4 linked regions of the Oreochromis niloticus genome follow. The protein of the gene in region 1 interacts with the protein of each later gene in a pairwise test. Links are inferred from orthologs where the notes say so. Each region holds a gene or a part of one and is shown in the gene's direction. Other genes may lie near its edges.

The links.
Region 2: the proteins of fam161a (region 1) and cep63 interact in binary tests that used the Homo sapiens proteins (3 or more experiments, as listed by UniProt). The two-hybrid records come from large-scale screens. The link is inferred for Oreochromis niloticus from reciprocal best matches to the Homo sapiens genes FAM161A and CEP63.
Region 3: the proteins of fam161a (region 1) and lamin-A interact in binary tests that used the Homo sapiens proteins (3 or more experiments, as listed by UniProt). The link is inferred for Oreochromis niloticus from reciprocal best matches to the Homo sapiens genes FAM161A and LMNA.
Region 4: the proteins of fam161a (region 1) and ppfia1 interact in binary tests that used the Homo sapiens proteins (3 or more experiments, as listed by UniProt). The link is inferred for Oreochromis niloticus from reciprocal best matches to the Homo sapiens genes FAM161A and PPFIA1.

The regions. Positions count from the first base shown.
Region 1 is NC_031971.2:5,234,843-5,242,014, reverse strand, and holds the start of fam161a (protein FAM161A), read left to right. Parts: upstream 1-4,170; 5' UTR 4,171-4,684; coding exon 4,685-4,840; intron 4,841-6,523; coding exon 6,524-6,792; intron 6,793-7,172. Other genes in the region: cct4 (T-complex protein 1 subunit delta), read left to right, coding at 18-70, 160-249, 419-527, 914-1,178, 1,282-1,414, 1,682-1,821, 1,930-2,026, 2,258-2,368 and 4 more. UniProt on the Homo sapiens protein: Involved in ciliogenesis.
Region 2 is NC_031986.2:32,690,697-32,697,882, forward strand, and holds the start of cep63 (centrosomal protein of 63 kDa), read left to right. Parts: upstream 1-4,180; 5' UTR 4,181-4,322; intron 4,323-4,376; exon of another isoform or gene 4,377-4,476; coding exon 4,477-4,517; intron 4,518-4,605; coding exon 4,606-4,783; intron 4,784-6,017; coding exon 6,018-6,113; intron 6,114-6,237; coding exon 6,238-6,327; intron 6,328-6,416; coding exon 6,417-6,530; intron 6,531-6,609; coding exon 6,610-6,759; exon of another isoform or gene 6,760-6,773; intron 6,774-7,047; coding exon 7,048-7,181; intron 7,182-7,186. Other genes in the region: im:7152348 (RING finger protein 223), read right to left, coding at 1,540-1,585, 1,669-1,773, 2,024-2,367. UniProt on the Homo sapiens protein: Required for normal spindle assembly.
Region 3 is NC_031976.2:36,001,650-36,008,636, forward strand, and holds the start of lamin-A, read left to right. Parts: upstream 1-3,979; 5' UTR 3,980-4,158; intron 4,159-6,987.
Region 4 is NC_031965.2:3,503,889-3,511,500, forward strand, and holds the start of ppfia1 (liprin-alpha-1), read left to right. Parts: upstream 1-4,606; 5' UTR 4,607-5,709; intron 5,710-7,197; coding exon 7,198-7,467; intron 7,468-7,612. UniProt on the Homo sapiens protein: May regulate the disassembly of focal adhesions. May localize receptor-like tyrosine phosphatases type 2A at specific sites on the plasma membrane, possibly regulating their interaction with the extracellular environment and their association with substrates.

The DNA.
Region 1 (7,172 bases):
CCTTTGTTGTTTGTTAGCTGTTGCAGATGCCATCAGAACAAGCCTGGGCCCCAAAGGCATGGACAAGATGGTCAGTAAACAGATTTGACTTTTCGCTGACTTTACCAAGGTCCCTCATCACACCTGTATCTAAGCGATGGCTGTTGTTTTTGGTTTCAGATCCAGGATGAGAAGGGTGATGTAACCATTACCAATGATGGGGCCACCATCCTGAAGCAGATGCAGGTGCTCCACCCCGCTGCCAAAATGGTACGTTACAGCAGCCTGCACAGAAGCTTTGCAACTAAAACTGACCTATGAGTGCTCGCTTTCTAAGCATAATTTTAAGCTTTGTTAAAATTTTCTTTCAACAGTTTACACCAAACACTGTTGTTAATTCGGTGATTAACTCATATGGCCTGAACCAAATGTGTTTCAGCTGGTGGAACTGTCCAAAGCCCAAGATATTGAGGCTGGTGATGGCACCACCTCTGTGGTGGTGATAGCTGGAGCGCTGCTGGATGCCTGCTCCAAGCTGCTGCAGAAAGGTGAGTGCTTCAGGGGACTGAAAAATCAAAAGTGATGCTACAGCTTTTTTTTCTCTCTCTCTTTTTTTTAAGAGTAAAAAAAATTTGAAAGTTAGCATATTTATTAGTAACTTATAGTAGAATTATTTGCATCTTTTTTGTATCTTGTAGTTTGTTTTTATGTGCATTTTGAATTCACGCACTGGAGATGGAGTGTAGAAATGTTGACTCCCTTTACTTTGCAAGGCTTATTTTGCACAGTAGATGAACTTAAGATGGCACTAAAGCCCAATACAAGATAAATAAGGATCATTTTGAGCTGTGTATCTGGAAAAGTTGAAGAATAACAATATGAACCTTTAATTGAGCACAATTGAGCCCGTTTAATTACTTGTCTCACCTGCCAGGTATCCACCCCACTATCATTTCGGAGTCGTTCCAAAAGGCAGTCGATAAGGGCGTGGAGGTGCTAACGGGCATGAGCCAGCCAGTGCAGCTGAGTGACCGTGAGACACTGCTCAACAGTGCCACCACGTCACTGTGCTCCAAGGTGGTGTCACAGTATTCAAACCTGCTGGCACCCATGAGTGTGGATGCTGTTATGCGAGTCATTGACCCAGCCACAGCCACTAGTGTCGACCTACAGGACATCAAAATCATCAAGAAGCTTGGGTGAGTGTTTTTGCTTGCTTGTTTGTTTGTTTTTCTACTCTTATTTAAGCAATTTCTTCTGATTTTTGCTAGGCTTAATCACATGTGTGTGTTGTGTGTTTAGAGGCACCATTGATGACTGTGAGCTGATAGACGGCCTTGTGCTGACCCAGAGAGTTGCCAACACTGGTGTGACCCGAGTGGAAAAGGCCAAAATTGGCCTTATTCAGTTCTGTCTGTCCCCTCCCAAGACTGATGTGAGTCGCTTGATGAATATCTGCTGACAAGAAAACCCTTTCTGCCTTATTTTTTATGCTCAGCTTCAGATTTTAACAATGAGCTGCTGCTACAGTTTTGACTGCTTCAGCTGCTATCGTTGTTCCTTTTCCTGTCATATAGAAGAGAAGACATTGTTTTCAGTATATATAAAACACTGTCAGTGCTGTTCTTGTGAACCATTATGTATTCCTTCAGGAAAAGCCTTCTTTTTCTAACCTTCTGTTGGGTTTTTGTGGGGCATGTAGATGGACAACCAGATCGTGGTGTCAGACTACGCCCAAATGGACCGCGTGCTGCGGGAGGAGCGTGCTTACATCCTCAACTTGGTAAAACAGATTAAGAAGGCTGGCTGCAACGTGCTGCTCATCCAGAAATCCATCCTCAGGTATGCAGGGAGCGAAGGACATGAGAAAAATACACTCTACTATGCATTTCAGTCTTCTTCTGATACACGAAACATCTGTCACACTAACAACTAACTGTCCTGTAACAGAGATGCTCTTAGTGACCTCGCCCTGCACTTCCTCAACAAAATGAAGATCATGGTGGTGAAGGAGATTGAGAGAGAGGATATTGAGTTCATTTGCAAGGTTAGTATTGTCAAATGAACCACGGCTTCTCTGTTTTTCACACAGTATTTAATGGACATATATAGATCTACATCACATTTGGCAGCACTTTATACTTAAAATTGTTTTTATAGTAAACTAATCATCAGTTAACAAGATTTGTACACTTTCAACTTGTGAGCAAGTATTTAGTTTTGACAACTCTGTTTAGCATTCCACACCATTTAACTGAAGCCCCCACCCCTTCTTTAGACTATTGGCACCAAGCCCATAGCCCACATCGACCACTTCACTCCAGAGATGCTTGGCACTGCAGAGCTAGCAGAGGAAGTCAATCTGGATGGGTCCGGCAAACTAGTCAAGGTACAGTTGAGTCTTCGCTCAGAGAAACTCAGTTGATTATTTTTGAGTTAAAGGACACAGAATGTCTCACTTGGAGCTGAGGAAAAAATGAGCTGAAACAACTCTGTGCCTCGCTTGCCACTTTTTGCAGATCACAGGCTGCACAAGCCCTGGGAAGACAGTGAGCATTGTGGTGCGCGGCTCCAACAAGCTTGTGATTGAGGAGGCAGAGCGCTCCATCCATGATGCTCTGTGTGTCATCCGCTGCCTGGTCAAGAAGAGGTCAGTCAATTATTTCTGAAGAGTAAATTTCATTGTTAAAAAAATTCTTAACAAAGCTGAAAACATACCCCTCCATGCTAGCTCACATGGCAAAGTTGGACTGTTCAAGAACACCTTTAGATACAGTTACAGATACGATTGCCCTCTGACAAAGGCGCTTTTGCACTGACTCATCCTGCAGGAGCGTAACAAACAGAGGAACAGTATTTAGGGAAGCTCGCCATTATTTTCGCAATGGGTTGCTTCAGCAACTTTGATGGAGAGCATTCAAACAGATGTATTCTTTTTTCGAAAACGTATTTTTGTTGTTATTATTTTATTTTGATCCCAATTTCTCTCAGTAATAGGATCAGATCCAATGGCTTTTGCATTTTTGCCTTCTCTGTCTCTCAGGGCTCTCATTGCTGGAGGTGGTGCTCCAGAGATTGAGCTGGCTGTGCGTCTGGCAGAGTACTCGCGCACACTGGCTGGCATGGAGGCCTATTGTGTGCGGGCGTACGCTGATGCCCTGGAGGTGATCCCATCGACGCTTGCCGAGAATGCTGGCCTGAACCCCATCTCCACTGTGACGGAGCTCCGTAACAGACACGCACAGGGAGACAAGATGGCTGGCATCAATGTTCGCAAGGTTGATCTTTTAATTTATAAATTTATTTATTTTTTTAAAGTTAGCATAGCCTAACTTTGTGGATAAGGTACTGCTAACAGAAGTAGATATTTAAGCTACTTATCCAATAAAAATGTTCTCTAGTTGCTCTCCAATAAAACTATTGTCTTGTTTGTTTTTTGTGGGTTGTTTTGTTTTTTAGTGCATTAATTTTCTTTTTTCCTGTTGAATGTCAGTGTAAAATGAATTTGGAAATGTGAACCATTAGTTAGACACAAAAGACACTTAATTTTACTCTAAGAACATTTAATTTACACACCAAACAATTTCTTGTATGTGCAACAGGGAGGGATCTCCAACATCCTTGAGGAACTGGTGGTGCAGCCTTTACTGGTCTCCATCAGTGCACTGACACTGGCCACTGAGACGGTCCGTAGCATCCTGAAGATTGATGATGTGGTAAGACTTAATCCTTTTTCTTTTTTTTTTAAAATTTAAAGTTAAATTATTTTAAGATCAGTTGTTGTACACTACCTTTGGCTTTTTGCAAAATCTGGGTATATTAGATTCCAGTTCAAATCAGTGGAAATGTGTTTTCTTGTTGCAGGTGAACACCCGATAGGTCTGTCCACTGAGTTTTGTCACTAAGCCTGCTCACACTGCAAGGGATCAGAGGACTCTGTTAACACCATTCTGTTCAGATTTCCACTGTAGTTGTTACGTTGCATAATTTAATAAAAAATTATGTGTGTGTGATTATATCTTTTAAAGCAAGTTGAACCTTTACATCCTGGCCTTTTGTCTAGTGTCTGTTAATCTGTATAATCAGAGCATTGCAGATACCTGTACCTGTCATATGTCTAAGCAGCAAACTTGCACACTGAAGATTACAGTTAAGAATAACAACAACTGCTAAATTTCACCACTGAATCAAATAAAAGGCATTATTTTTAAATATCCATCAGGCAAAGCAGACAAGAACATATAAGTCTAAAAAATAATCATGTAGTGTTCTAGCTGATTTGTATAAGTAACCTGCATCACAGATGCAAAGTACTTAAGATTTAACCGTATCTTTAGACTTAAAATTTATTTTGGTGTACTGCAATTGTGTGAGTAAGGGTACTTCTGGAGGATTCATTTTCCCACATCCATAACTTATGTCATAGTATTAATCAATACATTAAGGCAATTACAACATTTTTTTGTTCAACTATTCTTTTCAAAAATTCCGGTGCTTTTAATTTGTGTGGAGCCCACGGCTTTTCATTTCCTGCCACTCTCCGTCACTTCCCTCCCAACCAAGCTTCTCTGTTGCTAAGGATTTCACTTGCTACCTTGATGTGGATAGAGAGCGAGTTTGTCATCTCGACTGAGTACTCTTACTACAAGTGATTTTGTGAGGCAACTTAAAAAATAAATAAATAAAAAGCAACATTTACAAAAACATGGCAAATGCCCACCGGAAAAACGTTTTGGTTACTTCATGTTTGAAAACGCCGGTAGACCCGCACACCAAAGCGCCGTTAGCTTCGTATGAACGTGAGAGAGTCCTGCCGTGCACGGTTACAGGTCACGTTGACAACCGGGACTACGAGAAAGAGGTAATTTTTACTGAGTTTTAATGGTGGTGTACAGATTGCGAATATCAATTACAACATCTGCCTTTTGTTTAAAAATCTCCTAATAATCAGCCTGCCAGCCCCCTTTTACTGACACACGAACCGTAGCTTTCTGGTTAATTTACAGTTAGTTAATTTAGATGTTTCCATTTCCTCAGTGGTGGAGGAAATCCACACAGAAAGTGAATTACATGCTGCAGAAAAAAATGCAGACTAAGTCACTGTAAGTACTTTAATCCTGCGAAAAAAATGTAATTTATTGCGCCGACAATTGTTAAAATTTATTTTTAATAGTAATAATAATAATAATAATTTAGTAATAGTAATTTAACATAGATAGACCCCCGGTCATTCTATACAGACCTTTACATTTATTGTTACTGGGATCTTTGGCATATTACAATTTGAGACATTGTATTTTAAATATTAAGTTTAAACTGTCTGAACAGAGTACAATCGGCTGTTTGTATTTAAAGGTTTTTTCTCCATTATTATCCAGACTTTACTTTGTGAAGTAAGCCACAGACTGTTTCTGGTCTGGTTCCAACAGGCTGTTGACAGTTTCAGGTCAGCCTGTGTGGTGGAAGGGATTTGATCTGTTTAATTTGTTTAGCATACTATTTGTGGACTTCCATCTCGGCTAGATTATCAAATGTCACATTTAGTGTATAATCCTAAGATCATTCATCTTCTGCTGTTCTTCCATCAAAGATCTTGTTGCAGTTGTTTCAGTAAAGCCCTTGATAATTTAGTAAAAAGCTGTGAAGGCAGACACCTGATGTAAATTGTGTGTCTGCCTGTCATGCCTCAGCATATGGTCAGTGTCACTGCTGTGACAGCATAATAGGCTTAGTCCTGGAGGAGTGCTCAATGAGTGGTGGTTAAGCCATTATGTTTGAAGATGTAGGAACATGAAATGGATCAATGTGACAGCTTCACAATTAGTATATTTATTCCATGCAACATTTAATATAGTGAATCCAAACATATATTGTTTCAAAAAGTTATATAATGATGACCTATTCTGATCATTTCCACCTCTGTATTTTGCCTCTTGGACTCTTCTAGAATAGCTTTGCATGATTCACACTCAGATATTACCTATTCATCTTATACTGAGACTTGATACAGCCCTTCAGTCCATCCTCTGTCTGAAACAAGCTGTTTTAGCTCCTCTCCTCTCCCTAATAAGCCAGCAAACTTTCTCATGATTTGCTGCCGTTTGCAAATTGAAGAGATAAACAGCAGCTGGAAGAAGCATCTGAACCCACAGCCAGAGTGTTGGTGAGATAAGGATATCCCCTTTCACTGACATCATACAGAGTCAAAAATAAAACAAGAGAATGGAAAGATCTCATTTGGCTCACAGAGGTTACTTGTACATTACCTGACCTCATTATTGTTATTATGACTCATTATTAACTATCATATTTAATATAAGCATCCAACACTGGAACAGGATATCCATCCATCTTCCTCCTATGCAAGGTTGCAGGGAGGCTGGAGCCTATCCATGTTGACATAGGGCGAGAGGTGTGGTACACCCTGGACAGGTCACCAGTCTGTCGCAGGGCAGTGTATAAGTGCAGTGTATTTAGGTCACTTATAATATTTAGATATAAAATGGCTGCTGATTGCAGTATGAGATTGTTGTGACTATTTCAGATGGAGTATGAGGACTCAGGCTCTGATTACTGTGACGAGGACTGCACTGGGAAAGGAGGCCCTTTCCTGATAAACAACTACAGAGCAGCAGGAGATCGCCTCGACCTCAGTCAAATCTTCTTCTCCAATGAGGAGTACTACAGCAAGCTGGAGGAACTAAAGAAGGCCCACCTGCACACCATGGCTGAGCTGGAGAGCATGTATCGCCAAAAGCTGCAGCTCAACTCCATGGAGCCATTAGATATGACAGTGATGGATGGAAGCCACAGGTGGGTGGATTTTGTTCAATATTATGTAAGGAACTAAACATGTGTTCATTGTCTTTCTGTATGTAAAGAATTTTTGGAACGGCACTAAACGGACACCCCCCCCCCCCCCCCCCCACAAAACAATAGTGAAGCTATAAACCTATGACTATAGTCCTTTTCTGATTAGAGAAAAGCACACAACTTTTGTATCCAACAATAAACCAGTGATATTGACACTTTTGACAATTTTAAGAACTTTATGAGGCTTTTATATAGTTGTAATTTATTTGTTTAGATTCTAGGCTGCTGAATGGACAAAATAAGCTTTGAGAAATTGTGAAATTGTGATTGGCATTTTTCACAGCATTTTCTTAAACAAAACTAATAAATGGAATAATTGG
Region 2 (7,186 bases), on another chromosome or scaffold:
GACTCTTTCTAGGCCACCTGTGCAGGTAATAATGTAGTTTTTCTATCACAAGAATGAAAGTTGATCTTTAATTTGTTTAGTTATTTCGTACTTTTCCGTACTGCAAGTGTTTGTGTGGATTCAGATACTCAAACAGGAACGTACTATTGTTTGCAATGCAGTACGGAGGAAATGATCTTACACCATGACGTTGTTGCAAAGCTTCCCCACTGGAGCTGAAAATATTTTTGTGGCTCATGGTTAAATAACCGCCTCATTAATCAGTCTGACCAAAGAAACCTGCAGATGCTTATGCGGGCCTTCAGTTTTTAGGTTGGTGTAATTTACCACAGTATTTAATTCTGATGCTAGGCCTAAATTATCCTCCAGGAAAAGTGTATTTTTATATTTTAGCATTCCAACTCCGACTGAAGTCAATTATGTGCATTATCCCACCACTGCTGAGACAATCTGGGAGTTGTTTCCTGTTCTGTTCAGCTTTAATCTTGGGGATTACCACCATCAGGCCTGCACGGAGAGCCAGTAAATACATTGCAAAACTGAAACTGGTTCGTTGCCATATACACAATCATGCGTGTGCGTGTTTGTTTGTTGCTGCCTTCCCGATACATTCCTGTCCAGCCTGCCCCCGTGGCTGCCAGCTTATTTTGAACTTGGAGGCAGCTTCCTGTTTGGCAGTAATTTAAACGTGGGAATATGGTATCCAAAGACCGAATAACACACCGCCTGCCAATATATGACTAAGAGTACGCAGGCTAACAGTTGAGACCAAACCAGTGTGACAACTAACAGATTTTCAGCTCCATCCAAACAGCACTGACCTTAATGTGACTGAGACACCAAACACATCATAGTCAACGTATCTTCTTTAAAATATGTCGGAGGGGGTTTAACATGGACATAAAGTGGAACAAAAAGAAAAGAAAGTGATGATCCAGTTTGCAGATATCATTGAACGTGGAATATGTGCCAGATGCTCGGTGAATGGAGTTTTATAATCCACTTTCATGGTTGAATGAGTCTTTTGTGGCAGGTTTTTGTTGTGCGTCTTCTCCACAAGAATAATATTCAGAAATCCCCTCCTGGCTTCACTTTTTTCACTCACTTAAATACTTCATGTGTCATAAATGGTGCATGCAGTAAAGGAGGAAAACTCATGATTCTTTCAGATGTCAATAAAACCCAATGGACACCTGTTTGAAAAATAGTTTTATTAAATACTTTATGTCCTAGCTATCATAAATACAGAAAACAATAAGTTATGATGGCTATTCAGGAGCTGAAATGGAGAGGGGACCATCTGTTCTGAGGGGGTCTAGGTCTACGGGTGTTAGCCCCTCTGGGACAGCTGAACTAAATCCCACAGCAACGGCTGGGAGAATTAATCCTAGAATAAATAATGGGGAGACGGAGCACCTTTGGCTGAGGACAAAACTGTGTCCTGACAGGATCACAAATGAATCCTCCTCCCCCAGCGACCACAGCTTCCCTTCAAAGTTGAGTCTTCTCGTCCTGAGAGCGGCCACTTGTCAGTTACTTTTAAAAAGTCTCTTCTGTTGAAAGTCTGCGCCAGGATTTCATTTCCCTTTAAGATGAAACAAAAAGAAAAATATAAGTGATCATTTTTACTAATAATCTGTAAATAAAAGCTACAAACTCAGAACGTACACATTGCTGCCAGGCACGATTCTCTCCTGGTGTTGCTTCGTCAGACTGAACCTCCTGAAGAACGTGGGCAGTTTGAGCTTCGCTCTGGCGGATCTCGAGGAAATGCTGAAAAGAGAAAAGGCTCTCGTGTCAGACTGGGCTTTGGGAAAAATGCTGTAGAGCCGAGGCGCTAATGAGAAGCTGTGTGGACAAATGGACTGCTCGGCACTAATGTGTAAAGGACTCGGTATGACAGGAATTTCATATTCAGCACTGCCTCCAAAGAGGTTTTGTTCTCATTTTCTGCCATTTAAAACATTTTCAGTCCTCAACTTCCACACTAGTAATGTTTAAAGACTCAAAATGATAAACCCACCATTCTCCTTGTAACTGTTTAGCTTCTATTCTCTCCTGTGCAGCTGTTTGCTTCTCTCCCTCCTCCTCTTCCTCTTCTTCTCTTATGTCCACATCCTCCGGTATCTGGTCCCACAGCTCGCTGTTAACCCACAGAGCTTCTCGAAGACCTCGACCTCGGCCTATGCAGGTCACCCGGCGACACAAAGGGCAGCCCACGGTGAGCAGACCGTTCCTCTCCGTTGACATCCTCTCCAGACACGAATCGCAGAAGGTGTGCCTGCAGTGGAGCACCCGGGGGATCCTCTCCTCCCGGGAGTAGGGCAACAGGCAGACGCTACAGTCGCCATCCTCACAGAGAACCATGGTCAACCCTGACAACTTGTGGACTTAAGGATTTTTCTACAAAATCTAAATTTTTAATGGGTGTGAATAGGCTTTCTGCGAGTCCAGTGTTTAGAAACAATGGTGAAGATGATGGCTCCAGCAGATCCCAAGCTCAACAAAGTGACTCCCTAATACATTAAAAAACATTTTTATTAGCTATTAGAAGCATTGTTGCATCAAATTTAATTTAAATAAACGTTAATCTGAATTATTGTAGTATTGATGTTTTTTAATCCAGACAATGAACCTGATTAGAAAGGACACCAATATACCAAAATACACTACCATCTACTATCTTATGCTGAGTTGAAAGAAAAATGTTTCAATAATAATAATAATAAAGAGTGTACTTACAGCTGGCCTTTGCGTGTAATTTATTGTCCGTCTTTGGCTGCACAGCTCAGCCTCTCTGCAGTGAATGGTGTCAGAAAGCCGGCTCGTCTGCCTCCTGTTAGGAGTGTCTGTTGGGTTTGTGGGGGCGGAACAGAAACGTCTCCAGCTCTTTCTCTTTCTCACGGCCCCATACCCACCCAGCATAACAGCTGGGGAAGCAGAGCGGAGGGGACGCTCTTTGTTCAGTGTTTGACGACAGGCAGGTGGAGAAACGGGGAAATGACGCAACGGGAGGCGGGTGTAGTCACACAGAAAAAGTAATCTAGTTAGCTTTAACATGAAAAACATTAAAAACATCCTTATGTTTCAAGATAAATTGAAAAGGTTTGATATTCTTCAGGAATAATAGAAAAGGAGGGCTCGTCCGGGATTTGAACCCGGGACCTCTCGCACCCAAAGCGAGAATCATACCCCTAGACCAACGAGCCGGTTGCAAAGAGTTCTGTGGTAGCGTTTTTATATGTTGACATATCCATGACTTGACTGTATTTAATCAACAATCATTGCGTCACTATAAGAGAATATAATCACAACCTCAATATAAGGACTAACGGATGTCAGCAAATTCCTGAAGACTATTTGGACGGAATCGACGTCAGAAATATTTTTCCTTCCAAAAATACAACTGACCACAAAGAGTAGGGACCCTACACTATTTTGTTGGTTTCTACCGTGACTGGCACAGCATATAAATCACCAGTTCTGAGACCGTCCTACTTTGGCAAACCGTCCTATACGTAGGATAATTTGACAGTGACTTCTGACAAACCGTAACCCTAACCATAACCCTAATCATAACCATAACAAATATTCACATTGGCCTAAAAAAATGAAGTAAATTTGGGGATTGCGTTGTTTCCGCATGCGCAGAAACAACGGGTAGACTGTTTCGTGTGGTAGGATGGATTCCCAGAACACCGGAACACGACCACAAGACAATTCAGAAGTGAAAACGCGCATTAGCTTGAAAACTGGTAGCAGTGCTGACCACTTACGTAGACTCCACAGTCGACTCTACAAAAATTCACTGCAGAAGTTTGAAGTAAATATGTCAACAGTCCTCCGGTACAAAAATTGGGCTCGTCCGGGATTTGAACCCGGGACCTCTCGCACCCGAAGCGAGAATCATACCCCTAGACCAACGAGCCACGTGTTCATAGGATGTCTGACAATATCCTTTAATCGTCGATAAAACCAACATGATGACATATATTATGATATCATTTGTTACAAAGCGTTAAAGGTAACAGGGAATTTCCAAACACGAACTTACATAGCTAGACGTGTGGATAACAAGTCTCTTTTGATTATTTTAAACCACTTGCTTCCTGTGCTCTGGAGTTACGTACAGCGTGTTGACATCACATGCCGGGGTGGAGTTACCGCCTTACCTCAGGAAGCGCGCTGTTCGGTTGTGCAGTGTAGTCCAGCTAGTGATGTAAACAAATAAAGTTGGATGAGTTGAAACGGACCAGCCACAGCCAGCAGCTAACGTGAGCTAACTATGCTGGAAGCAGAAACCACCTCCGTGTAGCAGTCAGGTCAGCCTTGGTTTAGCTCGCTGTGTATTATGGGTTGCTAGTAACGTTTATGGTTGCTAAGTTATAGTGAACTTCTTGCGTAGGGAAAGGGCACGTGAAGCGACCGCAAAGCCAGTCCGCTTTAAGTTACTAACAGGACTTTACTTTAAACCAGATGGAGGCTTTTCTGGGGTCGATGCACAACCCTGATCTGAGGTAACTTGCACTGCGCTTAAAGAACTAACTTGGGCAATGAGCATTTACAGAAATTACATCCTTTTCGTTATTTGGCTTTTCCTTTCAGCTCAGTCCTTTCATCGTGTGAGCCGGAGCTTCAGGAACTGATGCGACAAATTGACATCATGATCAACGATCAGAAGAGGAAGTGGGAAGATGAGACTTGTGCCTTGGAGCTCAGGCTGAAAAGTAGAGAAGAGGAACTTTTAAACTCAAGGAGCACAATTGAACGGAGGGAACTGGAGGTGAAATAGAAGAGCCTAAGAGTTTATTCTAAACAGGAGCAAAGTTCTAAAAGATAAATAATGATGTGTACACGTGTTTATCCAGTGTTGGTACTCCTCCCTCGATCCTGTTAGTGATGTTCATGGACAGGATGTCAAAGTGTAGCCGGTGTGAGGAGGTGTCCATTGTGGGAACCTCAAAATCACATCCCTGTGTTGTGCAAATTATCATATCAGCGAAACTTCAAGATATAAATATAAAAGGACATACGTATTAACATTAATGTTTATGGGACATTAACAGGTAAAAGGTGCTGCTAGGTGTGCACATATACTTTGTGGCAGAGTGCAGTGAGGTGTGTTTAGTCTTGATCAGTATGTGTGGGTCTGACCAAAGTAGATGAATTAAAGAGTCTGATAGCAGCAGACTCGCAGACAGTCAGGTTAAAAGAATCTCCAGGTTGATGAGCTTCATGCCAACTACAGATTCGGCCTTCCTGATGAGGTTATTCAATCAGTTTGCATCCAACAGATATAGTTCTTCATCACAGCATGACCATCAGCATGCACTGGAGCGGTTTGCAGCCTGGATGAGGGCCTGCACCTACAAGTCTGAGGCTATGATCTTAGTCACAAGTGAAGGGAACGTGGAGTGTGAGATGCCTGCAATCTCCTAAAGTGCGTGCTGAAATCTGGGGAATGACCTAACAAGTGTGGTGGTAGATGCAAGCAGCTGAAGTGAGTCTGGGCTTAGCGGTAGGATTAGGAGCTTGGACATCTGGAGGGAGCTCAGAGTCGAAGCACTGCTTCTCGCTCTTAAAAAGAGCAAGTTGAGGTGGCCTCTAATCAGGACACTTGCTCCCTTTTTAAGGTTTCCCAGCGGCGTTGCTTTGTCTGCTGCCGCCACAAATCAATGTCAGATGAGGGAAAGAAAAATGGATGTTGTTGATATGATTGAATCAGCCTTTATTTAAGTAAAACTAGATTTGGATTCTTTACTTTTGTTGATGATTTGACGATGACAAAATTTGTAGATTGTAAACCTGCAATTTTTGTGGGCACCAACGATGAAGTGGGGTGGTGCATCAAGGCTCAGTGTGAATAAATAAAGAGCATTTTGAGTAGAGACCAAAAATAAAAAAATATGCAGCTGGTAATGAGCATAGCCTCAATATAAGATAGTTGCTAACACAGCTCATAAATTGTGTGCTCATATTAACTCTTTCCAACACCATTACTGTACCCATGACTGTAGATTGGATTACTCCGCAAGCAGCTTGAAGATGTCCAGACTGGCCGACAAGAGTTAGCCGCCAAGTATGAGCAGCAACTGCACAAACTCCGTGAAGAGGTGTGAAAACTCGTCTGTTACAAATCTTTTCTGCTGTTGCTTGGGCAGAAGTTTACAGTTTTTCTGTTTGTACTCACTCTCCCGCATAATTTCAAATATAGTAAGTGCATTTTTTTTCCTGCAGTTGGATAAGTTAAAGAGAAGTTACCACAAGCTTCAGCGCAAACACCTCAAGGACGCTAACGCAGGAGTGAAAGAGACAGACCTCCAGAAGGTGAACCCTGATATCACCCCAGTCATGCCATTGGATTGCTGCCGTCTGCTGGGTATGTGAGGTATAATCATGCTCCCCTCTCTCTGCAGGAATATCATCAGCGCTCTCTGGAGTGGGAGCAGCACCGCACCCAGAGCCAGCAGGAGCTCACAGCCCTGGAGGCCGAGAATAAGAGCTTGAAAGATGAGCTCTCACACATAAAAGTAAGTTCAGTGACTTCAGCATGTAAAGAAAGCAGAGGCTTGTCTGTTTTATTCACCACGTGTTTTCTGTTGTTTCCAGTCCCAGTGGGCAGCGCATCAAGTGGAGAGGGAGCACAGGGATTGCTGTTTGGAGGTGCAGCGCCTGCGCTCTCAGCTGGAAAAAGCTCAGAGAAGTCTGCACACACAGGAGCTGGAACTGGAGCGTCTCCGACCACTTGAGAGTTGGCAGGTAGGTTCAGAAGCCTGGGGAAGGTGATAGGACGGAAGATTTTGAATTAAACAACACTCACAGCAAGTTTCTCCGACATGTATTAAGCCTGTAAGAAAAGTTAAATGAAAAAGTCTTTAGTCTACCGATCAACTTTATCAGTGTCGAGAAACTGAGCTTTAACATTTAATCCAGTGCCCATAAACCTCTTAATGTTGATTATTCAGTTAAGCATTTTCAAGCTCAAAGTTCCTCATAGGTGCCAGGTTAGAATATGTTTTAATCAGCTGAGGATCCGCTGTTTTGCAGGTGCTTTCTGAGGAATGGGAGGAGCTGGACTCCCAGGATGCATTTGTGCGGCGAGCCAGTCTTGAGCGCCAAAGACTCCGTAACGAAACAGCCAGATTCAACCAAGCGCTGCAAGCTAAAGATCAAGTCATTCGGTGGG
Region 3 (6,987 bases), on another chromosome or scaffold:
ACAGTTTTTATTTGTTCTTTTCTGCTATTTTTAATTTTTTGCAGTGCTCGGGGATTTATTCAGCGAGCAGTGTGACACACAAGTAGCCAACAAAATTATTATTGATTCATATGTCAGTTATTTTTATTAAGAGTTAATCATTTAGCCTTCCACAGCTTCACTAAAATTGTTTGTTTAGTCCAACAAATTGTCCAGAACCCAACGATCGTTACAATTTATAATCAGTAAAGAACACATCATCAAATTTTGCATGATAATGAATAATCAATTATAAAAATCATCAGTTTCCTGAAGAGTGTTTCAGCCTTCCTGTGTACACAGCGGACTTTATTTCTATCTGCAATCACAAAAGCGCACAGTATCGTACAGTCGCCTCACCTGCTGTGAAATGCTTACATGCATAATGAAGCTGTTGACTGGCACACACATACACACCTCTGTCAACGAACACGCTGGGGATGCTGTGATTGGGAGAGCTGGTGTCAGCTGGGAATATGAGTCAGGTTAGTATGACTTCATTTCTTTTTACGGGTATTAGGTCATCTCTCTGCCTCACTTTTCCCTATTTCCACCCCCTTCCCTCTTGCCTCTCCCCTCCCCCCATCTGTGTGTCTAATCATATTGATGCTGTACAGCTAGTGACACGCCTAGTGATGAGTAAGGCTCACCTCACCGCTCGCTTCCCGTATGGCAGTGATCTCAGAGCGCTTTGAACTCAGGAGTCCTGCTTGGCCTTCTCGTTATTCTTGGCATTCATGTCTCATTTTATTGAATGTATTGCAGACAGCTGGGTGATTTGGATATTGCTTTTACTGTTCACAATGAAAGATTGTACTTTTTAATCTGCAGAAGGGCAGAGTCACAAACTAGGTCAAATTTCATTAAAAATTATGATGGTTTGAACAAATAAAATGTCTCACATCGGATGGCTTTAACATTTATTCAAGGGTAAAATGTAAAGTCTATGAAATTTAAAGGGGATCTATTATGCATTTCCTTATTTTCTGTCGCATAGATACTGATATAAGGAGGATGCTCATATTCAGTTTTATTTATATAGCACCAAATCATCACAACGGTTACCTTTATATTGCAAGGTATGTAAGCCATGTTTCATATCTACAGTAATAGATATGAAGCATAGGTAAATGTATGGATAAATAATCCCTGTGAGCCCAAAGCTCAGACTGCTCTACACACTCACTTTCAGATATTTTCTCCATTCTTTCATTTCAGGTCTCAGAGAGTGAATACCCCTCATATGGACCTGTCAGGCAGGTAGCTCAGGCGGTGAGCACAGAAGCCCAAATCACCTGATGTTTGCTTTATTTTTTTGAGAGTGCCAGCCAATCAGAAGAAAATGAGCTTAGAGGAAGCATGAAGGAAGCTGCAACACAGAATGAGACGAGTGACTGCATGAGTGGCACAGTCCAAGAAAATAAAGAATCATACAAAGCAACTCACTGGCTTCCATCTCCCTAAATGCTGGATTTTTCCTATGGATCTTTGATAGTTAACAGAGGTGATCAAGCAAATCAAAGAGGAAACTTGAACACTTTCTTATATCATAAGACATTTATGGATGTTTGATATGTGGCAGTTTTTTTATGATCTCCTGTTGATCAGTTTTTTTATGATCTTATTTTGGACGTATTTAATTATGGAGCAGTATGATTATGGTGTGGTTAACGCTGTCATCTTGTCTGTCCTCATGTGAACCTCCCGGTCGGGTGGGGCCTTTCTGTGTACGGTTTGCATGTTCGCCTTGTGGCTGCAGGAGTTTCCTTCCTCAGTCCAAAGACGTGCTTTTCAGGTTTGCTGATGATTCGAACGTGGATGTGCAGGTGTGTGTTTTGTCTGCGATGGACTGATGACCTTCCCAGGATGCAACCCACCTTTTGCCCCCTCACCTCAATTCTTGCTAATCTTATTAATAAAAGTGTTGTAAATTTTAGCACTAATACTTTTATTAAAGTAAATCAAAACTCTTCCATTCTACTTCCATTTAACCTAACAAGTACTTTTAAACTGGAAACTGTTGAATATTTTATTAATTAAAAAAAGATTTTTAGTGCTTTCTGGATCCAAATATATTATATATAATGAATTTATTTGTATTAATATAATTAATATACTACCCCATAGGTACAGTACCAGAGAAGTCTACATCACAGTGTGCGTTATTTTCTCCAAGCTCACGATGCGTTCAAGTGACCCAGAGTCCTATTCCATCATTTATGAACATTACGGATGTAAACAAACCATTTACAGCTCGGTAACATAGGTCATGTAAAATTCATGCTCAGCCGTTACATAATGATAAGCAAATCCAACAAGACCTCTGTAGAATATCTTTCAGCAGCACACTTGAGTTGTTTTTAATTTGTGTTTTTTTGTTTGTATATAGAACGAGTTTGGGATCGCAGGGAATTAAACTGACTGCATCATTCAACTGGGCCATCTGTACAGCTTGATAATGGCAGTCGTGCTGCTATAGTTGCCTTGAGGAAGGGTTGTATGATGCTCCCTGGATGCCACTTTAATTAAATTATCAATTCATGGAAAGCCCGGCACAGGTCAGTGTATCAATCACTAGCAAAGTGGGGTCCATGGAGCTGGGGGGGTCCCTGAGGGCTCTCCGGGGGGGTCCCAAGTGAAATGAAAACCACAGTTATTTAATTCATTAAACGCCACTGACTGAAAAGTGTATTGCTAACTGCTGTAGTAACAGATGTATGAGGTGTGATGTGAAATAATTTTACCTGAGCATCAGCGTCAGCTTCAGTCCAAAACAAGCTTCAGTGGGATCCTGTGTGGAAAAAGAACCAGGGTCATTTCAGAGCAGCACAAGTTTTGAAACAAAAACAAAAAAAAGATTTTGAGGTATTAAACATTTGATTTGCCATCTAATATTTTAATTACTGCAGCTTTAAACTTACAGCAACTTAATCTTGGCTTTTTGGGTCTGAACAGGCTTAATATGATGCCTGACAGTAAAAATGTGAACCACACAAAAAGTAACATGTTCAGATACACAGCAGCAAAGTGATTACTTTAAAGTGTACATTTATTTGAAAACCAGAGGGTTAACTTGTTTTTTCACTGGCACCGCAACCATCTGGCCTCTTGCAGTAAATTGAGTTTACATCACTCTTATATCACTGCATAACTACAGTACAAGCACTTTCTATTTTGCTCGTGCCACTGTTGGAGATGAATTCAGAGATTAAGACAGCACTTAAACACAAACATAAAGCACAACATCCTGCAGACTCACATCATCCTGTCTAACCTGAACTCAGTGGTGCTATCATCAGCTGTTCAGCAGGAGGAGAAGAAAAAACCCATCCGTGCTCTGTGAGCGATGTTTGCATGGGCTATTCCAGGAACAAGAAACATGACTCAAGTAAAAGTCATGTCCTCATTTAAATACTAGTATACACATCATTTCAAAATGTACTTAAAGTACTATAATAAAACCATGTATATCACTTTGTTGTTGCAGCTTGACTGTTTTAATTACATACAACGCTCGGTAGCTTTGTCTATAATAACCTAGCATCATGTATTAGCAGAATCATAGTTTAAAATCATTAAAATACGTGGCAGGGAGCACACAGTGCAAGGAATTTATCCAAAATATATTGGATTAGAGGAGGAAAGTATCATAACATACAGAAACAAAGTAGCCATGCTCTCAACACTACTCTACTTTAGTTACCTTAGTGGGGGGCACCATGAGGGGGCTGTGCCACCCCTCATACTGGCTCTCTGGACACACCCCTGTTCCATAGTCACCCCTTACACACATTTGGTTTATTTTCTCCAAACATCACCTGCTCGACTGAAACCCTCACCAGCTAAAAATACTGTCACTACCGAAGCGTTAATCATGGTCGCCAGGTGGCGCCTGCAGGCTGCATTGTAATTAGCGGAGATTGGCAGCCTAATCAAGTGTGTGGATCTGCAGGTGGCTGCTGACTCGGGTTGGCTCGACTCGGAGCTCCGCGGCTCTCCGATTTGTTCAAAGGAAACGCGTCCCAGCGGATGATATCGTGATTAACTGGGACTGCCGACATTTGGAAAGGTCACCGGTGAGCGCAGAGACGGGAGACGCGTTTTAAAGCGCTGCAGAAGAAAAGGCAGAAGAAGGCGAAGGTAGGACGGAGAGCGGAGTGTGTTTCAGCTGGAAGATGAAATGCATTTATTCTTCTTCTTATAGTTTCTAACAGGGCGCAGGCAGAGAGTTGAATCAGTTCATGAACTCTTTGACCCACACTGACAGTTTCCATTCAGTGTGTCAGCCAGTGGATGGCGTGGATGTGCTGTGCTTGTGAATGACTTCAGTGGAAGGCTGTGCACTGTGGGGTTCTATTTATGTCATATGTACTGAGTGGTAGCAGGGGGCGCCAGAGAGGCACAGAGTGAGAGCATCCTCATAATTCGTGACGAAAGCATGCATGTACACCGAGTGAGCGCTTTGTTAGAAACCACATTAGAATGAGCCAATCACGCGGCAGCAGAGCGGTGCGCGACACCCAGCAGGCGCTTCGCCCAATGATGACATCATACTCCAGAAAATAGGAATAAATATGAGGTTTGTGTCAGCTGTCCTGGTTTGAGTATTACTGAACCTGTTGATCACCCCGGATTTCCGGAAAATCTGCACTCATACTGATGCTCAGAAAACAGAAACCACACAGGTTTACCGGTAACCGAAGTCAATATTGATTGTTCAGTTTTGTTATTTGTCTCTCGACGTGAACCGGGGAAATCCCCCAAAATCCACGCTGTGAAATCAGTCAGAATCAGACTACTTTATTAATCACGGTGTGTGGGTGGAGGTGGAGGGATAAATTAAAATGTCAATATGATATAAAATATGAAGCTAGAAAAATGTAAACAATATATATAAAAATACGTTTTAAAAGGGCCACATTCCAATAAGGTCCAATTAGTTAAAATAAATACTCTAAAGTTTAATGATACTACGGACAATATACACAAGATGTGGCGAGTCTAAATAGTCCAGTTGTAGTAGAGGGTAGTTGTAACGTTTGATGGCTAGTGGCAGGAATCAGTTCCTGTGCCGTTCTCTGCATCAGGATGAACACAGAGGTACTTGAAAGCCTCCGCTGTCTGCGCATAGAAACGGGGCCAACAGACAAGGGCGTAGATTTGGTTTTGGCATTGGTGGGGACGGATGATTCAACCACCGAACCCTGCGCTGTTTCTTTTTCTTTTTTTCCTTTTTGTCTTTGCTTCTTCATTAAAAAAAAAAGAAAAAAAAGGGAGAAATATACTTGCTTACATATGCTATTCTACATGCTTTTAAACCATTTAAAATTACAATTCATAGTTTTATATGTGAATTATATAATGTTAAATTACTATTAAATAAATGACTGATTTTAGACTTTAGTTTACTTCAGCCATATTCCATATAAATCAGGTATCATACAAAAATAAAAAAAAGCTTCAAATAGAGTCATGACAATAAAAGAATATGACTTTAAGGACATTACTTCAGTTATAGTGCACCAACATCTCTTACACATTAGCACTAAGGGAACACTGAATGACCTGATGGTTTTTGTCCATAAAACTACTCGTCTAAGATTACCACAAAGTAAAAGATCTCTCAGCAAAATTATGCAACCTTTTAGGCACTATTGCCCCGATCAAGTCAGTGAGCTGGGACTTTTTATTCTAAACATGAACTACTGTTACAGCAACACACATGGACTACTGGTGCCCCACACAACAACTCAATGTCCACTATGTGAAGGAGTCTATACTACTGTTTATACTATACTGTCTATACTATACTGTCCTGGTGGACATGGCAACACTTTTTTCATGGTTACATACAGTTTTATACGGTGGCCCTGAGAGGCCAAACGGACTGCAACTTCAGAAAACACTTGCAAAAAGAAAAATGCTGCAAAAAGAAAAATGCTACAAAAAGAAAAACACTTGCAAAAAGAAAAATGCTGCAAAAAGAAAAACGCTGCAAAAAGAAAAACACTTGCAAAAAGAAAAACACTTGCAAAAAGAAAAACGCTGCAAAAAGAAAAACGCTGCAAAAAGAAAAATGCTGCAAAAAGAAAAATGCTGCAAAAAGAAAAACGCTGCAAAAAGAAAAACGCTGCAAAAGCACACAAAGCACAACGGAAATAGGAAAAAAGACAACGGAAATGTTTCTGGGGAGACAATACCCGGACGGACCAATTGCACGAACCAAAACATGCTAACAAGTGCACTGGGAGACACTTCAAAGAAGTGGAGCGGCCAAAGAGTAAACTTTCAAAAGTAAGTTCTGAATATTATGTCACTTATTTATGTGCAAATGTTTAATAATGAGGAACATTAAAACATTACTGTTGGCCACATGCCGGCAAAGTTATGTGACATTAGCGATGTTTGTACTTTCAGCATTTACTTTGTTTTAAAGCCTTTACTTTATACGCCGTTAGATAGTCGACCTTAATCTTACAGAGAATCTGATGATTTTGTGGATAATTAAAGTCAGTCATATATCCACAAACACAACAAGCTGAAAGTCAGTGATGCTGCTCGGTTTGCAGTCCTGAATATCACGGCACACGCAGGATTCACTGCACTGTTAATGTTAGCTATGTTATATTGCTGCCTCTGTTCGGTGGTGTCGAGCCAAACGGACTTTAACGTGTGTTTGAACGAGCTGACGGTTCACTCGTTAAGCTGAAAGAAAGATGCTTTAATCACTGGAGTCACACATGTGTCCACTGCACCATCTGGGAACTCTTCTTGTTTAGCACTCGTAATAACACAAACACTAAATCCTCCTTCTCTTGTGCTGTTTTGTAGCAGTGTATACACCTGAGACTGTCACCTGTCTGTCTGTCCTGCACTCTCTCTCTGTTTCTTTCTCTCTGATTGTGGAATAAAAGTATGAACATGTATTTATAAGTTACACTTGTGTTTGAATCCTGCAGCTTATCACAC
Region 4 (7,612 bases), on another chromosome or scaffold:
TTCAAATTCTGTTCACAACATTCTCCAGTCTCACATTATTAAGGAGGGATTTAATGTAATTGGGCCTTGTATATTATCACTAATCAATCTTTCTTTGTCACTGGGTTGTGTTCCAGCTGCCTTTAAACATGCCATAGTGAAACCTGTTCTTAAAAAGCGTTCCCTTGATCACTCTAACCTCACTAATTACAGACCTATCTCGCAACTTCCGCTCCTGTCAAAAATCCTCGAGAAGATAGTCCTATCACAACTTCAGACCTATCTAAATGCGAATAACATCTGGGATAAATTCCAATCTGGGTTTACACTGCACCATAGTACAGAAACGGCACTCTTGAGGGTCTTCAATGATCTTCTTTTAATTACTGACTCTGGGTGCCCCGCGGTCTTAGTTTTGTTGGACCTGTCCTCTACTTTTGATCTGGTGGACCATAATATCCTCTTAATGAGGCTTGAACATCTGGTTGGCATTATGGGTATGGCCCTTAGTTGGTTTAAATCCTACTTATCGGAGAAGTCCTTCTCTGTCAACATGGGTATCTACTCCTCTTCCATTGCCCCTGTTACCTGTAGTGTTCCTCAGGGGTCTGTGCTGGGTCCTATGGTGTTTTCTCTATATATGTTACCCCTTGGTCGTATTATTGAAAAGTACAAACTCTCTTATCATTGCTTCGTGGATGACATTCAAATTTATTTTGAATAGACTGAGGATGATACTTCATCGATGCTTCGCTTCTTTGATTGTATAAGTGAGGTTAAAGACTGGCTGCTGAGCAATTCCCTTATGCTAAATGACAAGAAAACGGAAATTGTAATCTTTGACAGTAATACCCCTAGAGCCCATCTAACTGGTGTCCTCGGGCCCTTCGCTGATTTTCTTTCCGATTCCGCAAGTAATTTGGGTGTTTACCTGGATGGCTCCTTTATGTTTGACAAGCATGTGTCCTCTGTTATTAAATCTTGTTTCTATCAGCTTCATTTCATTTCTAAGGCCAAGCCATACTTACCACATGAAAATCTAGAAAAGCTTATCCATGCCTTTGTCACATCCAGGTTAGACTACTGCAACTCCCTATACACTGGGCTTCATTCTGCCCTTCAGATTGCAACTTGTCCAAAATGCCGTGGATTGCCTTCTAACTGGTACTGTAAGGTTTGAGTCTATCACCCCAATTCTCACTGGCCTCCATTGGCTTCCAATTAAATACCGCATTGATTTCAAAATTCTACTGCTTACCTATAAAATCATAAATAATATCGCACCTAGCTACCTTATTGAGCTCCTCAGCGTGTATATTCCCAGTAGAACACTGACATCGTCTGACCAATTGCTCTTGGTGCAACCTAGGTCACGGCTGAAAACCAGAGGTGACCGTGCCTTCGCTTCACTTCGCTTCCTCCCTCATGCTATTCGCGTGTCTGTCTCAAGTCTTCAAGTCTCAATTGAAAACCCATCTTTTTAGTTTAGCCTTCCCGGCTTCCTAGAGCATGCCTTTTAAGTGTACCTTCTTGCCCTCCCCTTTTCCTCTCTTTTGCTTATATTGTTTTATCGATTTTATCTTTAAGTCTTACTTGCTTATCTGCGTACTTGTATGCTTGGTTAATCAATGCCTCCCACCTGCTAGCTTATCTGCTTTGTACTTTGCTACTGTTTTATTGGATTTTGTGAAGCACTTTGGCTACCTCTGGTTTTAAATGTGCTATACAAATAAAGTTGTATTGTATTGTATTGATCAATACAAGTGTAATCAGATTGATAGTTTCTGGGGGGGTTTTCTGTATGTACCGCTGTGGTCATCATAGAGGCAGTCTGGTCTGCCACTGCATTCAAGTATCATAGCACAGAAGAGCCACAGTTTGCTCCTCCTCTCCCCTCTTGTGCTGTGATGTTGTACTATCACGTGACTCAGAAGCACTAGGCAAGCAAGTAAGCATGCTCACACTGAAACATGTTATTTGAATAAAAACATTTAGTGGAATTGAAACAAATATACCAAATATAATATGCTTCAGATTTGATTGAATATAACTACCCTTTTGTGTTAATTGTGAAAGGGATACTGCATGATTACCATATTTAAACTACAAGTACATGTCCTACACACTTGATCATTTTATTGTTTCTGTTCTGGGTTTTAACTAATTAATTCAGATTAAGCCATTTGATGATGTATCCACCTTTATTATTAAAAAGCATGGTATCGGTATTGGTATCTGCCCTGTATTTATTGGATCAGTACCAAATCTTGCAGTCATTGCTACTGACTAGCTTAGCAGGTTCTAACCCTAACTTTTCCAGTGGTGCATCGGTAGTGGACAAATCCCCACAATTTGGAAGACATCCACTATCATACCTATTCCTAAATATTGAATGAATTAGCTGATTTCAGAGCAGTTGCAATTACATCAATTGTAATGAAAACCTTTGAAAAGATCTTAAAAAGTATTATTGTGTCCTCCAATAATAGCAAACTTGATTCTTTGCAATTTGCTTATCAGTCAAGTAAAACTCTTTTTAAAAAAAAAAAAACCACAATTTAATTTTTGTTGTGCTTTTAGAAGCCCCTCGAAAAACCCAGTTCTCATGCATGACTTCTGTTTGCTGACTTCTCCTCTGCTTGTAATAAGATACAGCCTCATATTCTGAGGGAGAGACTGGCCTCCCAGACCAGTTCCCGATGCCGATTTTAAATGTTCTTACTCAAAGGGTCCAACAGGTCCTCGTTAGTGGACAAATCCTGCAGGATTGTGTCGAGCTCTGATTCACCCCAGTGATGTGCTCTGTCACAACTTATTTTTATTATGTACACAAACAGCTGCAGGACTTCTTATGAGAACAGATTTATAGTCAAGTTCTCTGATGACACTGTCCTCTTGTCCTTGCTTTATGGCCCTGTTTTACCTGAATTTGTGAAGTGACTTGATGATAACTATCTGGATTTAAATGTCCATCCATTAATTTTCTTTGTTTGGGAATAGTTCCTTGTGTATTAAAAGTCCCATATATACTTTTAGTACACAAGGAACCAGCAGTCACCCACACTTTGAAAACATCTACAACACCGACAGAAGGAGGATGGAGAACCAGCTTTACCTGTACAGTGTCAGCAGAGACTGGAGGGGTCTCTGGACCATCTTGGACTATAAGGAGTTCTCAGCCTATAAGGGACACAAGTGGTCAAATGAACTGCATCACTTTTTTAATTGGGTTTGATTCATTATCTGCCCCCCTCCCAGGTCTGCTGCCACTGCTACAGCCACAGCCACCACTACCCCATCTCCACCTCAGCATGTCTTCACACTCCCAGTTCATTTCCAGTGTGCTGCCTCTCCCCCTAAGCCATGATCCTCCAATACACAGCCACCCTGTTTCTAACATGTTTCTGACTCTAATGCCCAAGAGGCTCTGCAATACCGCCACCAAAACACTGGGTGGAGGTAGGGAGTATATAGCATTGTTGGCCAATCTTTACTTTTTATTTGTGCTTCCTGTGTTTATTTTAAATAATGGTGACTACAAGGCATGTCATACTACTCCAACTGGAGTTGATACATCTTGAAGAAGAGATACTGATAATGAAGGAATTGCAACTGGAAAACCGAGGGTCTTGAGTTGTCACCTCACCAAGAACACCTTACTGATGTTCTTGTACCCCATTCCAACCTTGTACAGACCTGGAATGGAACAGATTGATTCTGTGGTGTGCAATGAAAATCTCTACATCTCCAGCTCTGCCAACTCCAATTAAGCCTCATGTCTTTTTGTCAGTTTCACCTGTCTCCCTCTTATTCACACACGTAGTCTGTCTTGCATTTACCTGTCAAACTATACATCACAAAAGGACTCACTGCCATATTTTAAACCTCAGACCTGTCAAATTGTTCATTAAAATTAAATTGCATTAAAGTTTTATTAAAATGCATTAAAGTTATAACTCAAACATTTTCTAGTGAGCTTCTGTAAAAAAATAAATTCTCAAAATATCACATCAAAATTGACAAAATAAATGAATACAAAACTTGTTGGGTTAATCCGTCACAAGAGGGCGTAAATGTTCTTTATTGCGAGAGCTTGGTTTATCAGTAACGACTGAATGTGGGCCAAAGAGTGAACTAAAGAAATTATTTGGAAAAAAAACAAAAACGTTTGGCTCTTCGATACCTTCTTCCAAAAGTTACATTTTAAATTATAATGGCTGAATTCGGTTAAGATGACCTCGGGGCCTTTTAAATCAAACTCTTAAATGTTCCTCTTAATCATAGTTACGTTATATTATTATTATTATTTATTATTATTATTATTATTATTATCATCATTATTGGTTCTACAAGCAAAACATAGACAAAAATACAATATTAAATGTTAAATGTAAGTTACATGTGTATTTAAAACATATCAGAATACAAACTATGGTAAAATAGCCTGTTTGATATTAGCCGAACGGTGAGACATCCGAGAACCTTCACAGACATACATCCGAGATATTGTAACCTGTAAATGTAAAGAAATAACAGTATTGTTGATGGAAAAGTCGTGCTTTGTCTCTGTCTTTTCAATACACGACGAGTGTAAGCTTATATCCCTACAGGAACTGAACGTACTGCTACTTCTCCACTTCCTCCTGTTGCCAACCTGGGAAGCGCTCTCTTCCCGTAGACTGGCAGGCTAAGTGCAAGCGACACTTAGCCCACCATTGGCTGTCCCGACTGCCGAAGCTGGCAGGCAGTGGCGACAGGGAAGGACCGGACCAACGGACCTTTTTGGTGGAAATACTGACAGAACGCCGGGAAATCGGGCGGAAACAAAGGGAATATATGTTTTTATAAGCGGTCTGGATTTCGTAAACAGACTGAAACGCTGCTAACGTTGAATGTTAGCTGGAAGTTTCCTAGCTGGTGCCGTGATGTGGTGACGCGACTCCACGGAATCGACGGGAAGCTAACGTTAGCTGATGCTAACGCTACTTGATAAATGAATAATTTTTAACAGAGCTTTTAAGACTCATTTCAGGATTTTAGCATTTTAGATAGTGTAAGAAACTTTTATGATAGATTTTATCATGTTATGTACTTTTATAATAAATAATGTTAATGCTTCAATGACTGCCTGACGTTTTTAAGCTAAAATAGAGCAGCAAACATTAGCTTCCTAGCTGGCTAGTAGCTAACATTGGCTAGTTGTCGACTTTAAACTGTCTTTAAGCCAAAGAGTCCTGTTTCAAATTAGCTAAACCGACTACGGCTGCTTATTTTTTTCACGTCACTTAACTGTATCAGTTAATGTTCACTAGTTATATATGAGTCAAACTTTATATCTGAGGATGGTCGTTCGTTTTGAGATGCAAAAATGAACGCTTCGTTCCAGAATCCAGATATGCAATCACCGAATCACCAGCTTACTTAGTGCTTGTTGGCTAGCGCAGAGTTAGCCAGTCAAACTTGGAATACTGCCCCCTGCTCACTTTATGCGAGTTTCGCTTTGAGGCCTTTTCTGAAATTATCTTTTTTTTTTCCACCAAGAGGACCCTTTCACTGCCTTAATGCATCCCTGCCTCTGAATGGAATTTCTGTTTTGAATGACTCTGGATACTTGTAAAGCTTGACAAGGCTCTAATCCACAGTTGGAGTTAGCTGGACTTGTTGACGTTTACTTCGTCATAACATAACCTGGATTTACGAAGGAACTTGGAGTAATAATATTCTTTGAAGGTGAGAAAGAACTTTAACACGAAACAACTTTAGAAAACAATTGTAGGGTTTAACCTAACTCCCAGACGTATCTGATAGCAGTACAATGGGCAAGCACTATACCGTCGATGCATTTCGGCTTCCAGCCATCCTCTTGATGGGGACCTAGTTCTTCATTAAAAATAATCATTTACAAAATGCAAAATACAAAAATACTTTAAATAGATTTGTAATTACTTTGACAATTGGTGGCCCCCTCAATCGTTTGCTATACCTCATTTACTACCCTGTTAGCCTTTATCTTCGCTCTGCAAAAAAGAAAAAGCTTCGAGAATCGCTCCTCTGCAAGTCAGCCAAAGTCCTCTACTTCCACTTGTCATCCTTTAGTTTTTGATGCATGGTGCAGTAGGTAGGTAGGTAGGGTAGGTAGTGCCCCCCGCCATCTGTCACTACCTTTATAAAGATCCTCAATGTGACCATCCCCCTCTTAAACATGGTTTATCCAGAGGGGCTTGACCTCAATAAAAAGCGTTAGTTTGGATTTTGCGTTTCACTTTGCAAGGGTCTAGTAGGTAGATTTGTTCTAAATAATTGGCATGTATCAAGAATGGTCCGCCTCAGTTATAGGAAAGTGCAGTTAAGTGTTTTTGAGATTTTGGTGTACCTAGCTGCTACGTGTTCCCTATTGGAAGTTGTTGTTCCTTTTAGGTTGGTTAAATCCAACTCACATGATTCCTGCTTGTCTGTCTGGGAGCCTGTCTACAGGACTTGAGCCGCTTGATATGGAGAGCGGCTTTATTACCCAGACCTTCTCAGCTTTTTCGTAAATTTAACTAGAATGGGTTAACGTAATTGTTTTTCTATAGACTACTATCAGCACAAACTAGTTAACCATTACAGTAAGTCAACTAGATTCAACTGATTTTGGTCTTTGTTGTCCCTTTTGTTAGTCAAAAAGCTACTGTGAGGGTTAATTTAAACTATGGAGATTAAATTACCCCTGATGAGGACTTTGAGACTTGCCCACTGTCTAATGTTATATCTCAGTGTGTTAATAATTTTGTTGATATAGGATCTGTGTGGGGGGGTTTTTTTGTTTTGTTTTGTTTTTCTTTGGTGTTCTTCAAAGAAGTTTTAGTATTCAGTTTTAACAAGTTAATATGCTTTTTGACTCTGTAATGTCCTAACAAAATAGCACACAGACCTCTGTTGCATAACACAAGCTCTTTGCCTTAGCATGAATATTGCATATACAGCTTTCTTTCCTGCATAGCTACGCCCAAATACTCATTCTGAAACATGTAAATGACACAGTTGTAACTTTGTTTTTATAAAACTTGGCTAGGATCATAAGCGAAAGAGAGTAATGAAAGTAAAAAGGAAATTATCCATAGCACTTAGTAATTGGTGTTATGACTTCTCCATGAGGGGTGAATTTTTTGCTTTATTGACGTGACAGTGACGGAGGGCCTTGTCTCTCCTGTTTTCTCCTGCTCTTTATTTTTGCAGATGATGTGCGAGGTGATGCCCACCATCAGTGAGGCCGAAGGCCCTGGTGGTGGAAATGGAGGAGGCCGTCGAGGTTCTGGTTCGCCACTTCAATCTGACTCAGAGGGTCACTTTGAGTCGTTGATGGTGTCTATGCTGGAAGAGCGAGATCGTCTTCTTGAGACCCTGAGAGAGACTCAGGAGAATCTGGGCCTGACCCAGAGCAAACTGCATGAAGTTAGCCATGAAAGGGACTCACTACAGAGACAGCTGAACACTGCTTTGCCACAGGTCAGTGAGAGAGACTTTTTTTCTTAAAGGAAAATCCTATTCTTAGTCCAGGTAGATTAATTCTTAAAGAAATTCAGTGTTTGCCATTCTACAGTTTCTGCCTGAGACTAAGCCTTTACTGGAAGAAATGGTACAGAGAGTGGTT